5 linked regions of the Neurospora crassa OR74A genome follow. The protein of the gene in region 3 interacts with the protein of the main gene of each other region in a biochemical or structural test. Links are inferred from orthologs where the notes say so. Each region holds a gene or a part of one and is shown on either strand. Other genes may lie near its edges.

What was found. The genes of interacting proteins can lie anywhere in the genome.
Region 1: of the proteins of cdc28 (region 3) and NCU00213, one has a biochemical effect on the other in vitro, tested with the Saccharomyces cerevisiae proteins (4 studies listed by BioGRID). The link is inferred for Neurospora crassa OR74A from reciprocal best matches to the Saccharomyces cerevisiae genes CDC28 and CDC27.
Region 2: of the proteins of cdc28 (region 3) and bud6, one has a biochemical effect on the other in vitro, tested with the Saccharomyces cerevisiae proteins (2 studies listed by BioGRID). The link is inferred for Neurospora crassa OR74A from reciprocal best matches to the Saccharomyces cerevisiae genes CDC28 and BUD6.
Region 4: of the proteins of cdc28 (region 3) and NCU02036, one has a biochemical effect on the other in vitro, tested with the Saccharomyces cerevisiae proteins (2 studies listed by BioGRID). The link is inferred for Neurospora crassa OR74A from reciprocal best matches to the Saccharomyces cerevisiae genes CDC28 and SEN1.
Region 5: of the proteins of cdc28 (region 3) and NCU08009, one has a biochemical effect on the other in vitro, tested with the Saccharomyces cerevisiae proteins (3 studies listed by BioGRID). The link is inferred for Neurospora crassa OR74A from reciprocal best matches to the Saccharomyces cerevisiae genes CDC28 and MCM3.

Annotation. Positions count from the first base shown.
Region 1 is NC_026503.1:3,027,134-3,031,817, reverse strand, and holds the start of NCU00213 (nuclear protein bimA), read left to right. Parts: upstream 1-1,471; 5' UTR 1,472-2,389; coding exon 2,390-4,684. UniProt on the Saccharomyces cerevisiae protein: Component of the anaphase promoting complex/cyclosome (APC/C), a cell cycle-regulated E3 ubiquitin-protein ligase complex that controls progression through mitosis and the G1 phase of the cell cycle.
Region 2 is NC_026502.1:3,557,238-3,561,998, reverse strand, and holds the start of bud6 (actin-interacting protein), read left to right. Parts: upstream 1-1,548; 5' UTR 1,549-2,015; coding exon 2,016-2,270; intron 2,271-2,452; coding exon 2,453-4,761.
Region 3 is NC_026506.1:1,088,632-1,093,411, reverse strand, and holds cdc28 (cell division control protein 2), read left to right. Parts: upstream 1-1,871; 5' UTR 1,872-2,588; coding exon 2,589-2,625; intron 2,626-2,709; coding exon 2,710-3,394; intron 3,395-3,476; coding exon 3,477-3,741; 3' UTR 3,742-4,327; downstream 4,328-4,780. Other genes in the region: NCU09779 (oxidoreductase), read right to left, coding at 53-852, 912-1,188. UniProt on the Saccharomyces cerevisiae protein: Cyclin-dependent kinase that acts as a master regulator of the mitotic and meiotic cell cycles. Required to drive the G1-S transition. More than 200 substrates have been identified. Substrate specificity is in part regulated by the bound cyclin protein.
Region 4 is NC_026501.1:1,604,484-1,609,204, reverse strand, and holds the start of NCU02036 (tRNA-splicing endonuclease), read left to right. Parts: upstream 1-1,508; 5' UTR 1,509-2,054; coding exon 2,055-2,437; intron 2,438-2,504; coding exon 2,505-4,721. Other genes in the region: NCU02035 (helix-hairpin-helix domain-containing protein), read left to right, coding at 1-1,098. UniProt on the Saccharomyces cerevisiae protein: ATP-dependent 5'->3' DNA/RNA helicase required for the expression and maturation of diverse classes of non-protein-coding RNAs like precursor tRNAs, rRNAs and small nuclear (snRNA) and nucleolar (snoRNA) RNAs.
Region 5 is NC_026504.1:3,901,492-3,906,281, reverse strand, and holds the start of NCU08009 (DNA replication licensing factor mcm3), read left to right. Parts: upstream 1-1,577; 5' UTR 1,578-1,807; coding exon 1,808-1,880; intron 1,881-1,963; coding exon 1,964-4,691; intron 4,692-4,764; coding exon 4,765-4,790. Other genes in the region: NCU16827 (hypothetical protein), read right to left, coding at 166-483. UniProt on the Saccharomyces cerevisiae protein: Acts as a component of the MCM2-7 complex (MCM complex) which is the putative replicative helicase essential for 'once per cell cycle' DNA replication initiation and elongation in eukaryotic cells.

The DNA of each region.
Region 1 (4,684 bases), on a different chromosome or scaffold from region 3:
ATGGCGACAATGTATTGCTGACTAAGCAATACAGTAGTCTCGACTCTCGAGAGCAATTCCCATCACGACTTACTCCACTCCTAACTTCACGATGAAGCGAGTGAGTTGTTGCACCATCGTCAAAGTACTTTCTTGACCATTTCCCTCGCTCTCAAATAAAGTAGCGAGACTAGGTAGTTTTACATGCTTCAACTTTCACCTCTCGCAGTGTAGCAAGGGAAGCAATGGTGAGTGAAAGGTTCAATACCTTTACGAAAATCTTGACTCCTGTTACAATGCCCGTGTAACGGTGCAGGGCGTGCAGTGCCTAACGCCGGTACAACACCAAAAGACGGATCAATCTTCTGTTCGCTAGACATAACTCGAATGAGTTGCCACAATTTCGGGATTCGGTGAGCAACGCCCACCGCCGGATGGACAATTTGCAATTGATGATGAAATTTGGGGGTGAGCCCAAATGGTCATCAAGAGTCGGGGACGAGACAATTGAGCGAGTGGTAAATATACAACACCGAGATGACAGATGATTAGTAGTATGTTGCGCGGGAATGGCCGCAGAGTCACTGTTGATGTCTGGGATACATCATGAGGTCGGCCAGGTGATGGTCGGGAGCGTGGGTACCAAGAGAAAGGGTGAAGAGGAGCATGAATATAAGAAACGAGGATAGTCCAAGACTTCGTTCGAAGGCATCCTTGGTGCATGTGAACTTGAAACGATTTAGATTGAGACACAGTGTACCCAGCCGCCAGAGTGCGGCGGAGATTCTTGATATGAGAAAGATTGAAGTCAACACCGACCTGAAGCGGTCCATCCGCAAGCGGCAGTAACTTCCCCACCCTCACTTGTCCCCGGAAGGACCGACTGATGAGCCAGAAGCACACCTGCCCTATAGTTCCTGCACATTGCCCATCATGAAATCAATCTACACTACTCACTACAGTCAGTAGAGGGCAGGAGCAAGGATGAAATTCCACGCGTCACTCAGGACCGTCGCCGATAACCCTACAGTGAGAATTTCTTTGTCATAGTAGTTGTTGCATGATGAAGGTAGACCCGAATCTTGGCATTGCAAAGGATGAGCGAGATGCATGGATGATATGGAGGGAAACGGCAGCTTAAAGAGGTCCATGGTGTTGATGTCAAATGGATCTTCGCCAGCCACTTGGAGATCAACTGTGGCTGGGAATGGTGACTCGGCATTGCTTGCGCTAAATCAGATCGATTGACGGCGCTGCAGGCACCAGGGCGCCATGTGGCTTTGGACTACCTCTACCTGGGAGCCTGGGTTACTACACTGAAGTTGTACACTGCACTTACGATGGGGATGAGCCGGTCTCGGCAGCTGTCGGGCAGTTTGCAGTTGCAGAACTGAGGTGTGAAGATCGATGAGACCGGGGGTCGGGTCAGTTGTCACTGTGTTGCCCGGCAAGCTTTCCCCACCACTGTTTGGTTCGGAAGGCAGCGTCGCGCAGCTACCGCACCTAACCACAACATTCAACCCAACCCAACCAAAGTCTCACCCTGGAGTCGCGAACGAGACTGACAGCCAGCCAGCGCTGCAGCCGCAACAAGCAAATCAAGGGAAGAGTGTGGTTGCCGTGACCTTCGCCTTTCCGAATTCACCATCTGTATCGCGACTTCAACGCTGCCGCGCGACCAAAGCAGCCCTTGCTGCCGCCGCCATCTCAATCCCTCCGTCACGAGGTGCTCGGTCTAGTTGCAACACAAACTGAAGTGTTTGGGAGAGTGGAAAGTCATGTCGTGTTAGACATAGTACCCAGGTTGCTGTTGTCGTTGTTGGAGAAGCTGACCCTTGGACCCTTCCCTGTCGGTGACGACCTGCTTGCCGGGTGCATCATACTACATCTTCAACTCTTCTTTTTTTGTTTGTTCTCCGACGTCACAGACCATCTTGCATCTTGAAAGCGGCACCTTCAACATTCCATCACTCCGCCATTAAAGTCTCAATTCTACCCTTTGCGACGCTTTCAGCAAACTCGGATTTTTTTTTTGTCGATACTCTTTTAATACAGCAGCTGCATCGTCCATTGTTCGCGCGCGCCCTTCATTGAGCGCAGCCCATCTCCCCCTTGCACCCGGCTTTTGCTTTGACCGTGCAGGCGCAGACTGATTCCGACAACGAAGATCGCTCCGTCCATTTACGAGTTTCACGATTACGAAGAACGACTTAGGCCTCGCCCCTCGATAACCCTTTCGCTCGAAGTGAGCCTTGCGAATTTGCTACTCCTGCCCACCCTCCGACATTCGGTTTTCTGAACGAGGCGCTTCACCCTCAGGTCACCATCTTTTATTCGGTAATCCCATGGATCCGTTTTGCCGGTAGCATAACTCATACACCACTTCGACCGCGGGTTTGGTGGTTTGGCCATGGCGGGGAAGATGACGCCAAATAATGTTACCGTCTCCCTTTTGCTAAGGCAGGCCATCTACTACCATCTCGACAATTGTGCCTACGAGAGCGCACTTTTCTTTGCCGAGCGACTCTATGCCCACGACCAATCCTTTTGCGATTCCGCCTATCTCCTCGCCTACACCCATCTGCGACTCGGCGACGCTCGAACCGCCTACCATGTCAGTCGGGGCTCGGGATATAGAGGTTCGCATTTAGGGTCCTGCTACGTCTTCGCTCAGGCGTGCTTGGAGTTGGAGCGATACAGAGACGGAATCACGGGCTTGGAGAATGGGAGGAAACAATGGTCCAAGGCGGACAACTTGGGGAAACATACCTCTTTTACCAGGATGCCATATCCCGATGCGGCTGCCTTTAGCTGTCTCCTGGGCAGACTTTACCGAGCATATGACGATAAGAAAAAGGCCATACCATGTTTTGAAGAGGCCCTACGACGAAATCCGTTCATGTGGGAGGCTTTCACAAACCTATACGACATGGGAGTGAGCGTCAGAGTGCCGAATGTTTTCAGAGCGAGCGATGGTCTTGCGCAAACCCTCGAGCATGGCCTCAACGCTACGCCGATTCTTGCTTGGATTGCAGGTCCTTCTCCGCAACCACCAGAGCCCTTGCAGCTAAAGAAGACCGGCCAGCAACAAAACAGACAGCCAAGCGATCCATTCGGGCCATATGGGACATCCCAGGAATCGGCGTCATATCCAGACTCGGAAAATGGCTTTATATCCAAGATGTATCTTTCTCAGTCAGGCATTACATCAAGTCAGCCAGGGAAACCGCTTGAGGAAACCGATACGCAATCTGCGCCTGCTCCAACCGCCCATAATCCTCAGGTCACTCGTGCTGTACACCAGGCAGAGCCGCCGCAAGCGCCACCTCGGAGAACTCGGGCGGCCCAGGCAACAGACTCTACTGTAACTGATGCACCACCCAGAACGGGACACCGTCTGGGAACAAGAAGAAAAGATAAAGCTCAAGAATCAGCGAAAGACCATGCGGAATCAGGTACCAAAACATCAACGGTTTCCAGCTCAATTACTGAAAGAAAACGCACGGCAGCAGGGCATCCAGTCCAAACAAGATCGATGAACAATGAGGAACCTAGGCGAAGTGCAAGACTTAATGTAGTTCCAAGACCAACGGCAACGAAAACAACGAGCGCGGGAGCAACCCGTGAGCTGAGGAAGGCTAGGCCCCCAATATCTCGATTTGCTCGGCCGGGCTCTAGTGGAGCAAACGTTGGTCGAGTTATCAGTGGCAGCCGGAAGCCGCCACAGGAGGATATTGGTATGGACATTGACCACGCCGAGGCAGTACCACGCACCAAGGAGCCGCCGGTGCTGCAGGCGGCACCACCTCCACCCCCCGCCCCTAAACCAGCGGAGTCTGAGTTTGTCAAGGCGGTTGAAGAAGCTTTGAAAACAATATTTGATTTGTTGAAGAAGTTGGCATCCGGTTATGCGCTTTCATCCCAGTTCCAATGCCAGGAGGCAGTGGCGGCGTACATGTCACTTCCGAGGAGTCACCAGGACACACCCTGGGTTTTGGCACAGATGGGAAGGACTCAATATGAACAGGCCAACTATGCCGAGGCAGAGAAATACTTCAAGCGACTTCGCGTTATTGCTCCGACTCGCCTTGAGGACATGGAGGTCTACTCGACTGTTCTGTGGCATTTGAAGAAAGAGACGGAGCTCTCATTCCTTGCCCATGAGATGATCGACTCAGTATGGGATTCACCAGAAGCATGGTGTGCCCTTGGAAACGCATGGTCGTTGGCATATGATCATGAGCAAGCCCTGAGGTGTTTCAAGCGAGCGACGCAACTGGATCCCAAGTTTGCGTACGCCTACACCCTACAAGGACACGAGCATGTAGAAAACGAGGAATACGACAAAGCCCTCACGGCCTACCGACACGCCATAGCGGCAGACAAGCGCCACTACAATGCATACTACGGCATCGGAAGGGTCTACGAGAAGCTGGGTAACTATGACAAGGCACTGAGCCATTATCACGCTGCCTCGGTGATCCATCCGGCCCATGCGGTTTTAATCTGCTGCATAGGCTCGGTCTTGCACAGGCAGAAACAGTTCAAACAGGCCCTACCGTACTTCACCAAAGCGACCGAACTGGCTCCACGTGCCCCTGATGTCCGGCTAAAGAAGGCTCGTGCCCTTTTGCAGATGGGACAGTTAAAGGCGGCGCAGACAGAACTCATGATTCTGAAGGACTTGGCTCCAGACAGGGCTCAG
Region 2 (4,761 bases), on a different chromosome or scaffold from region 3:
GGGCAATATTCTTGTGCGGGTGCCACACAGACCTCGGAAACCGCGGGAGACTCGGCGGACTATGGCGAGGGAGATTCGACGCATCATGGAGCCCTTTGATGTGCCCAGGTAGTAAGGGATGATGGTTCCTTTTCGAATGGCTGAGGTTTGAATAACATGGGTGTCAAAGCTTGCAAATTTGCCTGGTATAATCTGCGTTTGCTCATGGTGGAAGGATGGGAGGCAACCTGGCCGATAGACGACGGTATGTCCAGCAGACCGTGTTGTTCAATACAGGGTTGTACACAACGTTCGAGATGCGACACTCCAGTTGAAATCCTTCAGCAATTGATGTCGGCGATCCTCTTGTGCCTTGTTTTGTTGTTGCCGACTGGAAGCTTGACATGGACTGCGCTGACGAGTTCACCTCCAGCTCCGCGCCCGTGTAGGGTTCATGAATATCGGTAGTCGAAGGCCGCGTGAAGTCGGATGGCATTGAACCTCCAAGATACGAGTTGGAGACGGAACTGAGTTCATCTGTGTTGTTGTTACGGACACTGCAGGGAAGAAAACGTAAGCCCAAACTCAAGCTGAAGGACACTTGGACACTTTCAATTTCGAGGCTGTCTGGATTTGGACCAATTTCTCTGCCCGGTCGGTGCCTTGCGCCTTCCCTTCCCCCCAGGACCACCAACTTCAAGAGGATTCGGTGAGATCTTGGTAATGAGGACATCCGGGGAAGGAACAGAGGACCGGACTCAATACTGAGGTGGTGGACAGTAGGTAGGTTGCCGCCTTCTATATGTTCATGGTGTGTTTGTCGGTGTGGCCTCTCAACGTTCCCTGACTTTGCTGCTTGTACTGTGTTTTACATGGATGGCAATGGATGAGGTGCGACGTCAATGATGTGCCACAAATAAAAGGCATTTGACGAGATGGTGGTGTAGCAGAATGACGGCTATTGTCAACATCCTTGGTCCAAGATGCGGAGATCTGGCGGTGATGGTGATGATCCTTGTCTTTGGCGGTTTGGATGAAACATTGAAACACGGGGAGTTGTTTGTTCAGCAGGGCTGTGGGGGACAAGAGCCCCAGGGTCGTGTTGAGTCGCGTGAGACGGCCCGATCACATGGGCTACAGGTTAATCACAGCCATGGCTGGCTTGGACAGTGTTTACCAACAATGAGAATGGATATTTTGTAGCGCACCCCCTGTTATCGGCCGCTCTTACCCCTGTCCAGGGAAGGGCACGGCTACCCCTCAGGATCCCCTGCCCTCTTCTTGCCATGTGCTCACCTTCAGGCGCTCCTCTGAGCTAAGCGGGTATCATGTGCTGTTACCGCGCCCAGCCATCACTAACAGTAACAGCCTGGAAATTACAAGCTAACGTATTAGTACAATCTGCTTGAACCAACAGTGATGGCGAAATGCAAAACAACTGAAGGGAAGCGAGGTCAGGAGCCCACCACAGCGGCTGGCAGCCCAACTGGAGCCGTTGCCATGGCCTGCGCCTCCACTTTGGCTTCCATTTGGCGATACAAGTTCCAATCCACTGCAATTATACCTAGTCCCCGACTTGTCAGCAACGACGGGACATCCGTCCTCAACGCAGTTCCATAGTATTTGTCCATCATCAACAAACACAACCTCGCGCATTTCTCAAAAGCTTGTTTCTAGACAAGACACCTACTACTGTCCGCCACCATATCCTGATGCGCCGCCCTGATTGAGACGGCCAGCAACATCAGTCGTCGCCAGCATCTTGAAGGGCTCTTGTCATCCCGTCAAACCGATTCACTATCTCTTTATTTGAAGCGACCAAGACCCTGTCGCCAAACGCCCCCGGCCCGGTCTAGACGTAGCTCCCGCCATCTACGCGCCGTCGAATCTCCCATCTCTGCCCAACATCTGCTAGAGGTGCCGACCCGACAACACAAGCCATCCCGCCTGACGTGATCTCCTTTTTGCGACACGACCATTTGCCCTGAACATCACAAGCTCTATCACATCCATCAGACAGCAAGGCAGCGCAGCACATGATGAATGTCCCGGGTCCCGGCCGCCCCATGCAGCGACGCCCCCCCGCCCCGGGCACCGAACCCGGTGGTGGTGGTGGTGGTGGTGGTGGCCCGCCCTCCAACATGCCGGCCCGCTCAATATCGCCCGCCGTTGGGATGGGAGGACAGATGGGTCCCCAAGCTGGCATGTCGAGGTCTTCAGCTGGCTCAAGTCGCTCAGTTCAAGGTCCCGGCGGCGGCCCCGCCGGCGGTGGGAGCACAAGGCGAAACAATGTGAGTAATCATCTTCCCGCCTTGGCTTCCTTTACTGTTGTTACCATCGGCCTGTTTTGCAGTCCCCCTTTCTCTCGAGTCTTTCCATCTACATGCGCGCGTCATGATGCCTCTCCTCTCCTCTGTTCCAATCCTCCTCTGCCGTTTGCCAGTTCGCTGCTAACCAGGGCATCTGACAACAGTCATCTGGCGGCTCGTCGTCCGTCCCACTATCGCAAATCGAAAGGAGCGTCACACATCTACTTGTGGCCACCAAGCAACTGCTCGAAACCCTGACACAATGGTCCCGTGGAAACGCAACCGATACCCAGGTCTCCGACGTCTACGTACGGCTGGGCTACGAGTTTAATATGGCCTGCCGAGCCTTTACTGCCATCAATGTCGATATTGACGACTTGGGCAACGTACCCGAGATGCTGCGCACCATCCTGGAGGCCACTCTAAGTCAAGAAGCCAGCGCTGAAAGTCTCGAGAAATACCTGCCAAAGATACGTGATATTATCATAAATCTGCTGCATGGTTTAAAAAGAAAACAGCAAAAGCTAAGGCATCGCCAGCAGCGGGATAGAGAGCCGAGTATCGCGGGAGACGATGGAGGCTATGGTCCAAGTCGCGGACCTGGGCCCAGTAGCAGTGGCGTGCCCACCAGAACTACGAGCACTAGTACCATGGCTAGTGTTAATTCTGGGCTCACCAACATGCTGAACGAAGGGCTGGAGAGCAATGGCTACCGACCGGACTCTTTCAGGGATGATTCTCGGAACTCTGGTCCTACAACGGCATCACCCACCAGACGTCTTCCCTCGCAACGGGACCAATCTCGCGGCTCTGTCACCTCTGACCAGTCCAGCCTGTCGAGCAACACGATGCAAAACATACCCGTTATGGCGCCTTACCCAGGTGAAGAGACAATTCCAACCGGCCCACCGGCACCACCCGAAATCAACGTGGACAACTTCCCTCCGCCGCCGCCGCCGCCCAAGGGATCGGGACAGAGCGCCTTGGCGGCTCTCCAAAGAGGAGGTAATCTGGAAAGACGAGCTTCCCGCAGATATGAGGCATACCAGATTTCCAAGTATCTCGGCGCTATGGTCCCACCCCAGACAACGCCGATACCCGATAGGGGCAACCGCGAGGCTAGAAGAGAGTCGCTGCGGGCGATGCACGTAAGGGAAACCCCCCGCCACAGCCGCAATGTTTCGAACCAGTCCCAACGTACCATTGGCCTCGATTCCTCTCCCGTTCGAGTTCCCAGCCGGGTTCCTGAAGAGCCTGAAACGGCCGATTCTTATACATTTAGCAAGGCCGACAACTTGAATGTCCAGGCGCCAGATGACAAGTATCCTACTCCAAGCGCTACCCTTAATGGCCCGCTCGCAGATCCTATCCCGATGGTGGATGAGGTAGACTCGTCTAAGCCCGCTGCTACGAGGCCTGCTCCTGCGCCTGCCGCTCCTCAGCATCAACACAAGCCGTCCATTCGCGCCTCGACTCCCGATAAACAACCGCCCAGCTCGTTTATGCTCGAGAATTCACCCCCCGCAACCAAGGAACTGACCCTCTTCCTGCAGTACAAGTCCAAGGTCAAGAAGTTCGTGCTCCCTGAGGGCTACGAGCATCTGTCTATGGCTCGTCTTCAGCTGGCCTTTATTGAGAAGTTCTCGTGGAACACGCAGCAGAATGGAGCTGATCTACCGGAAATTTACATTCAAGATCCCGTCTCCGGTGTCCGCCATGAGCTTGAGGATCTGTCCGATATTAAGGACCGTACAGTGCTTGTGTTGAATGTCGAGGTTTTGGATGAAGTCAAGAAGCATATTGACAAGAGTATCGGGTCCATCAAGACCATCATCCAGCAGGTTAAACAAAATGTCGACGATCAAAACGCCGCCATTCAACGTGTGTCGGAGCGCCAACAGGAGACCGCCAAGGATCTCGCTCGCATTGCCGCCACGCCGCCTCCCACTATCATCGCACCAAGTGGTATGGACTCGACGGCTTCGCCACGCTCTTCGTCTTCCTCTGTCGCTGGTGCTGCTGCCCTTGCCGGTTCCTCATCCAAGAAGCTCAGCCCAAGCCAGCTCACCGAGATCCAATCCCTTCGTCGCGACCTCGCCGTTCTTCGCCAGACCTACTCCAACTTCCAGTCCGAAGTCCAAGGGTCCATGACTACTCTTCGCAACAAGGCCAACAATGTCAAGACCGCCGCCGCCAAGTTGTCCGTTCCCGATGGGGAAGGCGACTCTGGTCGCGCTTACGTCACCAAGGGTCGGAAACTGCTTAACGCCGATAGTGACCGGCTTGTCAACCAGGTAGACGACCTGCAAGATCTCATTGAGGACCTTCGCAAGGACGTTGTCCACCGCGGCGTCCGCCCACGCCCTAACCAGCTCGAGTCCGTCACCAAGGACATCACCACGCTCTCCAAAGAGCTCAAGAAGATGGAGGAGTTCATGAAGAAGGAGAAACCCATCTGGACCAAGATCTGGGA
Region 3 (4,780 bases):
CTTGGCATTCTGTTGACTGAACATGTGGTTGAAGATAGTGGCGTTCTTCGGCTCAGTCCCTCATCTGCCTAACATTAATATTGATGCGCTTGTTCTTCATCCAGCCCCTCCAAGCCTCATACTTTCCATCTTCGGCGGGCCAATCCTCCAGCCACTCGGGACAGGTGCCCTTGAAGATTTTGGGTACACCATGCCAGGCAAACCTGGACTCCTTAGTCATGTAAATGATATCGCCAGACCGTAGCCTTAGCAGCAAGAACTTCTTGTCGCTCTTGCCACTTTCATTTTCTGCGGATCCCTTTTGCTTTTCGTCTTCCGACACCTTGCCCCAGTCCTCGGGACAAATCATGAAGAGCGAATCACAGCCTATACTCAAGCTGACCAGGCCTTTGTCGGTCTCTTCTGACACATCGCGGTGCATCATCATGGTATCGCCGGGGGTGTAGAAATTGACAATGGCCGCTTGGGCCTGAGTCTCGGGAAACAGGGTCTCCAAAAGGCCGGCAATGTCTTTGGGAAACTCGGGGGGCAGCTCGCCCGGGTAAACGCGATTCGTCCAGTCATACTGTCCACCTAGGGTGACCCAGTGTAGCTTGCGGTTGAAGACTTGTTGAAAAGTGAGAGGCTTGTGTACAGAAGGGTCCTTTGGCTCAAAACACGTCTCGGAATCTGGAGGGTAGGAGAAGAAGGATTCCTGAAGGCCTGTTTCGGGATCCACGGGCGGGTAGGGGAGCTTGAAATGGAGATGCATGTTGGTCTGGTGATGGGGTTGGTTGAGATCGCGGTGAATGATGTTGCGCAGTAGCGTCTTTTGGACCTCGGGGGGAATGAGGTTTGGGAGAATCAAGAGACCTTTTGGGGTTGGTCAGCAATGATTCGTGAGGAAGAGGGGTCCAGGATCTTGAGTTCACCAGGCAAGAGAGGATGGTAATAGATGGGGGCGTCCTTGTCTGTGCGGAACTCTGGTGAGTCTTCGGGGCAGATATAGCTGAAGGACCTGTTCAAAGTCTCGGTAGGAATGGAGCCAGCGAGCACAAACTCGGGGGCTTTTTCGGGACTGCGCAAGTCATCGATCTCGGGGCTGTTCATGACGATTTTCTGGTCGACTTTGGCGAACGACTTCCACTTGAGCCGCAGCTCATCCGACGGCTGCTCGTGCGCATCCAGGTCATGGTGTCCACCCATCATCTTGAAAGTCGGGTAGTTCTTTTGAGCGAGATATCCAAAAAGAGAACAGAAAAGTGACCGAAGAAATGGATATGAGTATACAAGTTGACTCCTTCCGAGTCCTCGTGTGACGTTGCGGATTTGGAGTAGGGAAGTATCGTGAGATGAAATTGTGGGGACTCGAGTGAAGCTTCAGACGGGACGGATGGTCGAGATGGATTGATGTGTGGGCGTCGAGCTGAGGCTGGGCTGGGCGTCTGAATGGCTGGAGCTTCTGAATGGCGCCACAAGTCAGGGGTAGTCAACAGTTAGAGATCGTGGCTACCTAGAAGGTACCTACGTATTCTGCCCCATCTTGGTGGGCTGTCGGGTACAGTCAATGCTCCAAGTAGTAGTACTTACTAGAACTAGGTAGAGGTGGTACATATGTACCTAGATTGCTTGAAAGTTTACCTACCTACCTTGAACTCGGAGTACCTACCGACGAGGAAAGCGGGCATTTTTTGGACGCGTTCATTCCTCCCTTGCAGTCCGTCCCTCCAGTGAGTGGTTTCCATGGTGCCGTCGCGGTCCGCGCTTTTTGTGTTGACACGGATTTCCGTTGCAAGCGCCAAGTCTAAGACGTAATCGTCCCGTCTCCAACCACCTGCACTCGGATGCCCGTCTGGAATAAAACCTACCTACTGCACTACAGTACAGCGGACCACCCCCCTGGACTGCCCTCTAAATCCGACACTCGAACGACAACCACAACTTCACAACCTCAACTTCCACTTGCACGTCCACCGCCTCTCCTTCCTTGGATTTCTGTCCCTTCACCATCACGGTCCCTTAGTATCAAGAAGTTGCAGGAACAACGGACGACAATTACATCGCTCGCTGCATCATATTGCCTTTTCATCAGCGGCCTTTCGCATTCAGCCCTCCGCCCAGGACGACCCGTCGACCATTCACGGCACCATCATCACCACCAAAAGTCAACACCAAAACAAAGTATTTACGGTAGCTAGTACTGTAGCCTTTTGACGGCAACGACGGACGATTCCACCTTTTTTCGTTTTTGTTTACCAATCCGCCACTGCGCTCCCTTTGGACACCACCTATCCTTGGCTGGACCTTGACTCTCCAAGGATCAATCAATCTCAAGAAGGCGACCCTTCGACGGCCGTCACTTTCTCCATCCGCCGCCGCCGCCGCCGCCGCCCCACGCTTCGTTCTGGGCTTTTCCATCAATCACTGTGCTTCAGCGCGCTAGGTACAACATCGTTCGTCGTAATCGTCCCCCACCACGACGACCACGAACACCAGGCACCAACCCCAACTAGTAGTTCTACGACTCCGGGCAAAGTCAATTCTTTCCCTCCAGGGACTTTCAAACCACCCATCTCAGTATAGCGGCCTGGACGGGTAACAGAGCAACCATGGAGAACTATCAGAAGCTGGAAAAGATTGGCGAGGGTACAACACCCCCTTCTTCTTCGACCCCTCCACCTTGGCTCTCTTCCTTCCATGTCCCGTACTGACATTCCACCTTCCGCATAGGAACGTATGGTGTCGTCTACAAGGCCCGCGACTTGGCTAACAGCGGGCGCATTGTCGCCCTCAAGAAGATCCGCCTCGAAGCCGAAGATGAGGGCGTCCCCTCTACCGCCATCCGTGAGATCTCGCTGCTCAAGGAGATGCGCGACCCCAACATTGTGCGTCTCCTCAACATTGTCCACGCCGACGGCGGTCAAGGCCATAAGCTGTATCTTGTCTTCGAATTCCTCGATCTTGATCTGAAGAAGTACATGGAGGCCCTTCCTGTCAGCGACGGTGGTAGGGGCAAGGCCCTCCCCGAAGGAACGGGCGCCGGACTGCACAATTTGGGACTGGGCGAGGATATCATCAAGAAGTTCATGAGCCAGCTTTGCGAGGGCGTCCGATACTGCCACAGCCACCGTGTCCTACACCGCGATCTCAAGCCCCAGAACCTGCTCATCGACCGCGACGGCAACTTGAAGCTAGCAGATTTCGGTCTCGCCCGCGCCTTTGGTGTTCCACTCCGTACTTATACCCACGAGGTCGTCACATTGTGGTACCGTGCGCCCGAAATCCTGCTGGGTGGTCGTCAGTACTCGACCGGTGTCGATATGTGGTCCGTTGGTTGCATCTTTGCCGAAATGTGCACACGCAAGCCCTTGTTCCCTGGTGATTCGGAAATTGACGAGATCTTCAAGATCTTCCGGTACGTTTATGCAGTTACCTTTTCTTGGCACCTTTCTGCTTCTCCCCTAGTCCGCTATACTGACCTCTTTTCCTCCAAACAGTCTGCTTGGAACCCCTACTGAGGACATCTGGCCCGGCGTCACCTCCTATCCCGACTTCAAGGCATCTTTCCCCAAGTGGGTACGCGACTACAACGTACCACTTTGCCAAAACCTCGACGATGTCGGTCTTGAGCTACTTGAATCCATGCTTGTCTACGACCCTGCTGGCCGAATCTCTGCCAAGGCAGCGTGCAATCACCCTTACTTTGAAGACTACAACCCCAAGCCAAAGAGCAAATACCGCGACAGCAGCAGATACGCCTAGGGACGTTCGCCAAGGTCGAAGCAGGAGCGTTAGGCAATAGCAGATCGACTATCCAAGTTTTGCAGCCGGCTGCTTAGGTTCGGTTGGATCTCGGTGACTTCAAAGTGGGCAGTTCGTGGCAAGGGTACAGTCTTTGTGATTCTACCAGTAGCGAGTGAGGTCGACACACCGAAACGGTGACAGAAACAAACTGTCATTATCACACCTGAAGCATATCATAGCATCCCACTTTGCTTTCAGGATACTCGGAAACATGATATTCGACACATCAAATTCCCCATACCTACATTTTGTTGTATGTAGGGTTGTGTTTTTAGGGAACAGCGTTCAAAGGGGTCATGGGTAAAGGAAGTACATTGGAATGGAGTTCTGTATTACACGATTCGGTGTTATCTGGAAGAGCAAATGGCATTCAAGGGATGGGGCTTTCTGTTAGCCCTGGTGCATATTAGGGAGTTGTGGTGTGAAGTGTACTGTACACAGGCAGGGAAAAGGCGCAAGACATTGTTCCAATAAATCTCGCATGTACATACTTTCCCCTGTCCAAACACAGGTCCTTCGTTTGGAGATGCGAAGTGATGTCGGCTGTTCCTTCATCTTTGATGTGCTCCATTTCTTTCTCCCTGCTCGGATTTATGTTGCCATTGATCGATTTCTCATGTTGCCTTCTTGGCTGTCTTTCTTTCCGACAAGCGCTCACACCACCGCATTACATGTCCCCCAACATTGTAGGCATTCGCTTTTATCAGACTGAGCAAATGGTACCTCAGCACATGGGACTGCAGACATCGTCATGCTGACAGCGCTAATGAAGAATGCTTTCAGAAAAGCCTAGCTCACTCAAGCCTGTACCAAGCGGTTGGCTCCCAACATTTCAGCTATCAAAAGAGCATCACGTCAGTGGATTGGGAACCACTCAACAAGACAGATCAGGCGTCATAGGGAGGCTATATACCTGCAATACACTCACTGAAGCTCTTCCTAGTCCCAGTATCTCAACCGTGGTGTTGCGTGGTGTGGCGTCCAGACACTCCATCGG
Region 4 (4,721 bases), on a different chromosome or scaffold from region 3:
GACGACAAAGACGAGGAACACACTGAACGGGATCGACGGGGTACCAGGTCGTCTTCCAAGAGGCCAAATACAGAAACCGACAAAAACCTCGATAGCGGCAATGGACATATTATTGTCAAGACCAGCAAGAAGGCAGCCAAGGTCACCGCCACAAGAATAGCCACCGTGGACCGTGACAGCCCTGACTACAGAATGCCAGTGAGAAGGGGCCCAAATAATCCCATGGGGTTCACGCCAGGGTTCTCACCCTACCCCAATCGTCAGGCTCCTACCTCTGAAGCATGCGAGGATGTGTACCGCGTCTTGGCAACCATGCATGGCAAGGTAGAGCAACCCAAGGAAATACCCAAGGCATCTTTGGAGAAGGCCGGATGTGGCGAGGTACCTTGCGTATTGGACGCCCTCCTCCGGACGCTGATTAGCGGCAACACACTGATGGCCATGGCGGACCGAGCGATCAGGAACGTAGCTCAAGAGTACGGTTTACGAGAACACGGCTCAGGCATCGGAAGCATCAACTGGGAAAAGGTTGCCAGCGAGCCAGAGGAAAAGCTGGCCCAGGCTATCAAGGTTTCGGGGAACGGAAACCAGAAGGCCAAGCATATCAAGCTAATCCTCGACATGGTTGCGTTGGAGATGGCGCAGATGGCAATGGAGAACAAGGGAACGGGCGGTAAGCGAGAAGTCGCCTTCTCAGAGACGTTGAACCTAGACCACATGCACACCGTCACCAAAGACGAGGCCATGGCCAAGCTTGTCCAGTATCCCGGTATTGGCATCAAAAGTGCTGCCTGCGTTACACTCTTTTGTCTTCGCATGCCCTGCTTTGCAGTTGACACGCATGTCCACCGGTTCTGTCGCTGGCTCGGTTGGGTGCCGGAGAAAGCGAATGCTGAGGACTGCTTCAGACACTGCGACGTGAAAGTGCCGGATCACCTCAAGTATGGCTTGCACCAGCTGTTTATCCGCCATGGACAACAATGCTTCAAGTGCCGGAAGGCGACAAGGCCTGGTACGAAGGAGTGGAGGGAGGCACCCGAATGCCCGTTGGAACACCTGCTGGACCGGGGGAAGGGAGGAGACCATGGAGATGGATAGACAGGGAACGCCGGAAAGAGTCGATTTGGAAGTAGTTGGTTTCTTTCCAAAAGCAATAATTTCCAGTCTGACTCTTTGGCCCGCCATAACTTGAGACCCTCTTGATACTGTTGTGACGGATGAAAGCTCCCTAGGCCTTTTGACCTCAATGTTCGAAGATTGGTGATTCATGGAAGAGATGGGGAGTTGGGCGAATCCGTACCATGATATACAAGTATGTAGGAGCTCTCCATCTGGCTACTGGCAACAGCTGCTGAGCAGCTGCCTGTTTCTGACCATCGGACCTGCCTGCCGCGCCCCTCTGCCCCCCCTGCAACTTTTAGCGGCCCCACGCACTTTAGGTCTGACGCGGTTCCTTCTGGATTGACGCGCAACAACAGAACCTAGGTTTCGTTACAGCGTCCATTCCTCTTCCTTTCCCAGGCACTGTGGACGCTGGCTCTGGCATGTCAGAGGAAGCTCCCGTCTGACAGCCGCACCGTCAACTCCAACATACAACAGGAGAACCTTCACCGATTGCTTGGTGAAAGAAGAACGGAGTCAGACTCCTTCACTGGCCTGGAACATAAAACCCCACGAGCGCGGATTTCTCTTCTGTCCTATTGGTATACAATTTTCCTCCAACCCTTTGTCTGTGGGTGCAAGCGATACCCGCACATCCATCGCCATCTCGGCCTTTGCCCTCCGACAAAGCATCACTGCTCGTCCTCGGTTGCCTGGAGCATCTTGCTTCAACTATTCTTGTCATTCTTTTGCCGCACAAGTTGTTCCTCTAGCATATCTGTCGCTCACCTCGAAAGCTTCTTGTCGATGCAAAGGCTTCTCTAAACCATTCCGTCTGCTTTGCGCTGAAGGTTGCTTCTTGCGACCATCGAAGCGCAACCCACTTCGCCCTCCAAGCTCCGTCAGCCTAGACAACCACCAGAAGCCATCACGTTCTTGAATCGACCGCCGAGATGTCAGACAAAATGGAATACCCAGAGCTGGGGACCGCGGACGTTCAGATGGCTATGATGGAGATGCATCAAGCCTTTGAAGAGTTTCCTCCAGACGCACATCCAATTTGCCCTTTGCTCAGCGACGATGACGATACGGACTACGCGTTGCCAGACCTCCCCGATGCGAACGGAACAACGGTGGCAGAAAAGCAAAAGCGAATCGCTGACGGGTTCGAGAGACGTAGAATTACCTACGGCCTTTCGCTTCTGTTGGTGATGCCAGAGGCTGGTAAATGGATCAACGAGTGGAAAGAGCGTGTCAACTTCTTTCTCACAAAATGTGACCAATGTGCCAGGACATGGCATAGGACACGCCAGCAATTCATCAGAGCCATTGATCAGTGCGTATTCGCAAAAACCTACTTGGTCCACCGTAGGCCTGGTGACCCCAGCTAATCCGATTTACAGATACACTTCCCGAGACAACGCCGAGCTCTTGCGGAATCTACAGAAAAACCTCGAAGCCTTCGATGAAGAGCGCATCACGCGCGGCCTCAAGAGAGCCAAATTCATCCTTGAGAGGGACGGTCCCATGCCGACTACGAAGCTCGTTAGAATCGAACTTTGGCCGTGTCTCGCCTTGTTCGAATCGCTCTGCTGCATGGCATACTTGAACACCAACAAAGCAAACCTAGAGATATTCAATTACGTATTCGAACATGTCCAGCCTAAGAAGCCGCTGAAGATGGTGGGAGGCGCAATTCCGACCATGACATACTTCCTTTTCGAAGAGTATCCGGTGCACAGGGCGTTTGCAGAGGCACAATGGCAACGGATGCTGCCGGAAAGCCTCACCGATGAGGAGTGGGAATGGGCTGTCAGAAGCGGCCTCAAGTCCCATATACTCGGCCATAGGGGGATACAGCCCCCGGCGCGGCTGTGTCGCTTTTGGAGCGGATTCCTCCTCATTTTGCGAGCTATGAGCGAAAAGAGTATTTTGGAAAACCTCCGCGGTATGGAAGTACAACCGAATGTCTACTTCCTTGCTCTCGAAAACCTCGGCACCAATAACGTCCCTGCTTTGAGCATGATACTGAAAGCACTTCGTACGCTAATGGAGCGTTCGTCAAAGGCTTTCTGGGACGCCTATGACCAAGTCACTCCGAGTATGATTGTGGAGGAAATCTTCAAGAGCCCGGCTTTTCGGCCCTTTTTAAACCAGTCTCTTGAGCCGGACATGATGGTCGAGGACCAGGAAAACAACGGTCAACTAATACCAGCGTTGGCAGAATGGGTCAGGGCCTTTATCCGTTCCCTTCCCTCAGCGCGGCGGTCAGACGTTTGCGAGACTCTTCTTCGGCATCTGTTCGAAACTCTCCGGGTCGACGCAGGCGCAGCCCCAGAAGCGAAGGCCACTTGCATCCTTGCTGGTCTGGTGACCTTGAGAGAATGCTTGGACGGCTACCTCAGCCTTCCATCCTTTGATACAGGAACGTCTCTTATTATGGTCAACCAGTTACTCAACAGAGTGATTCAGTACAAGGAAGTCATCATTGACGCGACCAGGCTCAAGGCCGCGGACAAGTACAACGTTGGCCTCTCACAGGCTGCTATAGCTATCATACAGTCTGCCCTGGCATTGGACGCGAAGGCGACGTTGATGGAGTGGGACGCTTTCGTTAAGGAAAAGCCTGTTCAAGATGCCGTAAACAGGGACTCTGGCGCATTGTGGGAGTCATTCCTCGAGCTCGTCTGGAACGGACAAACAGATCTCGCCAAGGCCATGTTGAGAGCTACGATGCCTCTCAGGAGTATCGAACGGTTTATCCCTAAGCGGAAAGACCAGCTCAAGAACGAGCATGCAAAATTCAACAGACGCTTTCAACAGCAAACGGCGGCAATTGGCAAAATGTTAGGCCGCCTGTCTGACTTCAACCCGGCTGATCTTGACAGTTTCTGCTCGGATCCGCAGAGTAACACCATCCAGCCCATCGTGGCGACTCTAATACACGGTGAGGAAGCCATTCGCGAAGCTGGCTTCGAGTTGATCAAAGCCATCACAGGTGAGATGACGCCATCTGAGGCCGTGAATAAGATGCTTGAGGAGTACTTCAGCCAGTTCCTGGAGGCCTTCACTGGCGCCGTAAACCATATCACCAACGCCAAAGACTCCAATAATCCGTGGAGTCACATGCAACACTTGTTGAAATGCTGTGAATTCGTGCTCAATAGCTTAAGTGATCCGTCTGTAGGTCAACTCAGACGCAAGACCCTGACCCCTGCGGAACATGCTATCGTCAAGGGATGGTGGGATTGCGAATGGAGAGCCGTCGGCCACTCGTTCGGATCCATGAGACTCTGGCACGTGAAGGTGGACAAGAAAGTCATGGAGGACTTTTGTCGTGATGTGATGGAACTTGCAGAGAAGCTCCTCGCCCAAGACGGTCTCATGGCTTCGGCACTTAGCAGTCCTCAAAGCATCTCGGCGACAAACGGTGACGACGGCTCAGAGGGCATGAAGTTGGTCCTGGAGCCGCCGAGAATACACTCGCTTCCCTTAGTGGACATGTTGCAACTCCGCGATAAATATCTTATCGCCGGTATTATCGAAATCACCAAGAAGTTGATCAAGCGTCTGCAAGACAACGGCATGGATCTTCCGCCAAAAACAGTCGCCTATCTCAA
Region 5 (4,790 bases), on a different chromosome or scaffold from region 3:
TCAAGCCAGACCTGTTCCGGGCTCAACAGAGGATCAGACGGCTACAAAGGCCGGGAAGCAACCGGAGCCACCCGACAATTCGATTGGAGGACCCGCTGGGCTTGTGTCAGTCCTTCTCACGGCGCCTCACCAAAGTATGAGGCCCATTCCCGTTTACGGCTGCAGTCACAGCACACTACTGTAACGAACCGCGTCATCCCGAAAGACGATCCAGTCTACCGGGAACCGATTACCGTGTCTACATGATGGAGCTGTACGACATGGACCACAACAGCACAGCTCGTTGACGATAAGGGTGGTTTTCGTCCCGCCTTCGAAGAAATCGTACGACCAGAACCGCAGGAGAGAGTTGATGCTGTATGAGGCTAATGGCAAACGGCATAAAGTTGATGACCATATGTAACTTGCCATAGCCATGTCTGCAAGCGGGCAATGACGGCTCAAGTGAACAGTCGGGAAGTCGAAACAACAAACACAACACATTTCACGGTAGGATCCCGATGGGATCCCGATGGTGATGGGCTCTAGTCGGGTACGAAAACCACGGGAAAATCAAGGAACCAAAGGATGTATTCAGCCGTTGCAGTTGTTGAGCGGAACCTCAAACCTGACTGCCGTGAGAAGAACGGATGTGGGGCAGTAATCGCCGGCTAGGAGCAACGTCTATCGGACCGTTGAAAGTTGATGTAGCATGTGAACGACGCAGCAGGGGAGACAATGATCATGGGGAGCTCAGGATGGCACACTCTGGCTCGCGCTTGGAGCCGTCGAGAATCATCACCCGACTGGGGTCGGTTTTGCTCGAGTACTTGGGCGCTTAGGCTCATAAGTAACATTGGTACCAGTGAAGCTGCGAAAGCCCTGCGTTGGCTTATGGGTTAGAGACTCCAAAGAGTGGATCGAGTAACTTTTAGACACTCGTGGCTTCTTTCCATTTTACACTTTGGTAACAATCACTTTGTTTCACCCATGTCGTCCACTTAACAGGACCCAACAGATGTTGTCCTATGGTCATACTTCAACTGCTAACACGAAGCATAGCACAACTACGAAGTATGAACTTGTAATTTAAAGGCTGGGAGGCACACATGTATGTGAGGTACACACGCTAGTGACCAACAACACTACTGAGGTTTCGGCCGCCTTGAGGTTGTTGTTCTTTCTCTTCTCGTTTTCGGGGCAACACAACGTGGGCTTGCTCGCTGAGGATCAAAGGCCATGCGGAGTACCGAGGTCTTGAAGACACTGTCGAGCCAGACATGGACGCTGGTCAAGTTGAAAAGGCCGAGAGGTACAAGTTAGAAGAGATCAAGCATGTGCAAATTGACCTGGAATGTATGTACAATCTTCGTGGAAGTTTTGTTATCGATAGTAAATGTAACCTGGAAACTACACTGAGTGGAAGTCTGGAGGGCCGAGGTCTGGTGTAGGTGGTTAGATACTGGAAATTACACGCTTCTTGATGGCAATTATGGGTAATGACGGTATCAGGTACAGCCCCGCTTGTATCAATTAAGCCCCCTGCCTGAAGCAAGGGGTTTAGCGCGACTCGCGTGTCGTCGACGCGTTTTCCACTTAAAATCGTATCGTTTCGTTTTGTCACTTTTCCATGGCGGCTCCGCAAGGTGAAGCGCATGCGCCAAAACAAAACATCGGCGACTCTTTCATTCTTCTCCAGCAATCTTTTTGGACGACAAGAACGGAGGCCACAACGACTAGCCTTACTCCGCGTCCGAACCCGTGTTACCTTTGTTTCCCGTCTGTGACACTGGCTTGAAGAGTTGTTCTTTGGATTAATACCTTCAAGATGGATTACAACGCCCTCCGCGACGAGGCCGTACGCGACCGTGTGCGCCAGGCCCAGGAGTTCCTCGATCCTCGTACGTCGAAGCTTGAAGCTGATGCTGGCCCTTTGTTCACGACCGAAGCATGGAACGAAACTAATGGCGAACCTTATCTACAGATGACCAGCACCAGCGAAGCTACAGACCAGACATTGTGTTGATGCTCCAGAAGAACCAGAGGAGACTCGTCGTCAATATCGATCATGTCCGCGATCACAGCTCTGAGGTAGCCGAGGGTCTACTTACCGATCCCTTCAACTGGACCCTCGCCTTCAACCATGCGCTCAAGACTATCGTCAGCACCGTCCCCCAGGCCCGCCCCGATCAAATAGACCCCGACGTCTTATACTATTGTGCCTGGGCTGGCAGCTTTGGTCTACACACCTGCAACCCCAGGACACTGTCCTCCCAACACCTCAACAATATGGTCTCGATCGAGGGCATCGTAACAAGGACGTCCCTGATCCGCCCCAAGGTTGTCAAGAGTGTACACTACAGCGAAGCCAAGAAGACATTCCACTACCGCGAGTACCGCGACCAGACCATGACGAACGGCATTGTCACCAACAGCGTCTACCCGCGCGAAGACGAGGAGGGCAACCCGCTCGAGACCGAATACGGCTTTTCGACCTACCGCGATCACCAGACCATTTCCATCCAGGAAATGCCGGAGAGGGCACCTGCTGGTCAGCTGCCCCGAGGCGTCGATGTGATTCTCGACGATGACCTGGTAGACCGCGTCAAGCCTGGCGACCGTATCCAGCTCGTCGGTATTTTCCGGACGTTGGGTAACAGAAACACAAACCACAATAGCGCCCTGTTCAAGACGGTCATTCTGGCCAACAACATCGTCCTGCTGTCCTCCAAGTCGGGTGGTGGTGTGGCTACAGCTACCATTACCGACACCGATATTCGCAATATCAACAAGATTTCCAAGAAGCCAAAAGTTTTCGAGTTGCTTTCACAGTCACTGGCTCCCAGTATCTACGGACATGACTACATCAAGAAGGCTATCCTGCTTATGCTGCTGGGCGGCATGGAGAAGAACCTGGAGAACGGTACACATTTGAGAGGTGACATCAACATCCTGATGGTCGGTGATCCTTCCACCGCCAAGTCGCAGCTCCTTCGTTTCGTCCTCAACACTGCTCCATTGGCTATTGCCACGACTGGTCGTGGTTCTTCCGGTGTTGGTTTGACTGCTGCTGTCACATCCGATAAGGAGACTGGCGAGCGTCGTCTGGAGGCTGGTGCCATGGTTATGGCTGACCGTGGCGTCGTCTGTATTGATGAGTTCGACAAGATGTCAGACATCGATCGTGTTGCCATCCACGAAGTCATGGAACAGCAAACTGTTACCATTGCCAAGGCCGGTATTCACACCTCCCTTAACGCCCGTTGCAGTGTTATCGCCGCGGCCAACCCTATCTTTGGACAGTACGACACCCACAAGGATCCTCACAAGAACATCGCCTTGCCCGACTCCCTCCTGTCGCGTTTCGATCTTCTCTTCGTAGTCACCGACGACATCGAGGACACCCGTGACCGACAGGTATCCGAGCACGTCCTTCGCATGCACCGCTACCGCCAACCCGGCACCGAGGAGGGTGCTCCTGTGCGCGAGAACGCCGGTCAGGCCCTCAACGTCGCCCTCAACGGGCAATCCGAGTCCCAAAAGCCCACCGAGATGTGGGAGAAGTACGACGCCATGCTGCATGCCGGAATCAAGGTGCCCAGCGGCCGCGGGTCTGCCAACAAGAAGCCCGAGATCCTCAGTATCCCCTTCATGAAGAAGTATATTCAATACGCCAAAACGCGCATCAAGCCGGTACTGACGCAGGAGGCTTCCGACCGCATTGCTGACATCTACGTGGGCCTGCGCAACGACGACATGGAGGGCAACCAGCGCAAGACGTCGCCCATGACGGTCCGTACGCTCGAGACGCTCATCCGTCTGGCCACCGCCCACGCCAAGGCACGCCTGTCCAACCGCGTCGAGGAGCGTGACGCCGCCGCTGCCGAGTCCATCCTCCGCTTTGCCCTTTTCAAGGAGGTGGTCCAGGACGAGTCGCGCAAGAAGCGCAGAAAGACCCGACCCGCCGAGGGCGAGGATGGCATGTCCTCCGACTCTGACGACTCTGATGACGATGACGACGACGTGGCAACTCAAACCACCACAGCCCGCTCCAGCGCTGCCAGAGCTTCTCGCGCTTCCCGCGCTTCCCAACGCGCCAGCCGACGCACTCCCGCCAATGGCGCTTCCTCCTCCTCCGCAGCAAACGCCAACGGCACTCCCAGAGAGGAAGAAGAAACCCAAGGAGCAGAAGAAGAGGAAGAAGACATCTACGACGCCACCCCGCGCCGCTCAACAAGATCTGCTCGCACAACCGGCGACTCACAACCATCCTTCGCCTCTTCCCTTCCCGCCTCGCAACTTCGCTCCACTCGCTCCCAACGATCATCTCGTCGCACCGCTCAGAACCAAGACGACGAAGAAGAACTCGCCTCCGGAGCCGCCAACCTCAACGTCGACGAAGACGAAGACGAAGAAATGGACGTTGACGGCGAAGCCGCCCCAGAAAACCAAGAAGAGGAAGAGGAGGAAGAAGAGGAAGAAGAAGATGAGGAGCCAGCACCAATAAGCGAGCACCGTCTTGACGTTTTCCGTCGGGCGCTCGGTCCGTTGTTGAACTCGGGACTTTTCGAGGACGACGCTGCGGATGTGGATGAGCTGATCAAGGCTGTTAATGAGAAGATTCCCGGAGGCAGGAGAGGCGGTGAACAAAAGTTTGAGAAGGAGGAGGCGCTGCAGGCGTTGAGGGAGATGACGGAACGGAATCAGTTGATGTGAGTTACCCTTCGCTTGATATTGTGAGGTGTGATGATGTCGAGGAATGATGCTAACGCTGTTTGATGATAGGTATACCGATGGTCAGCTAGTGTACA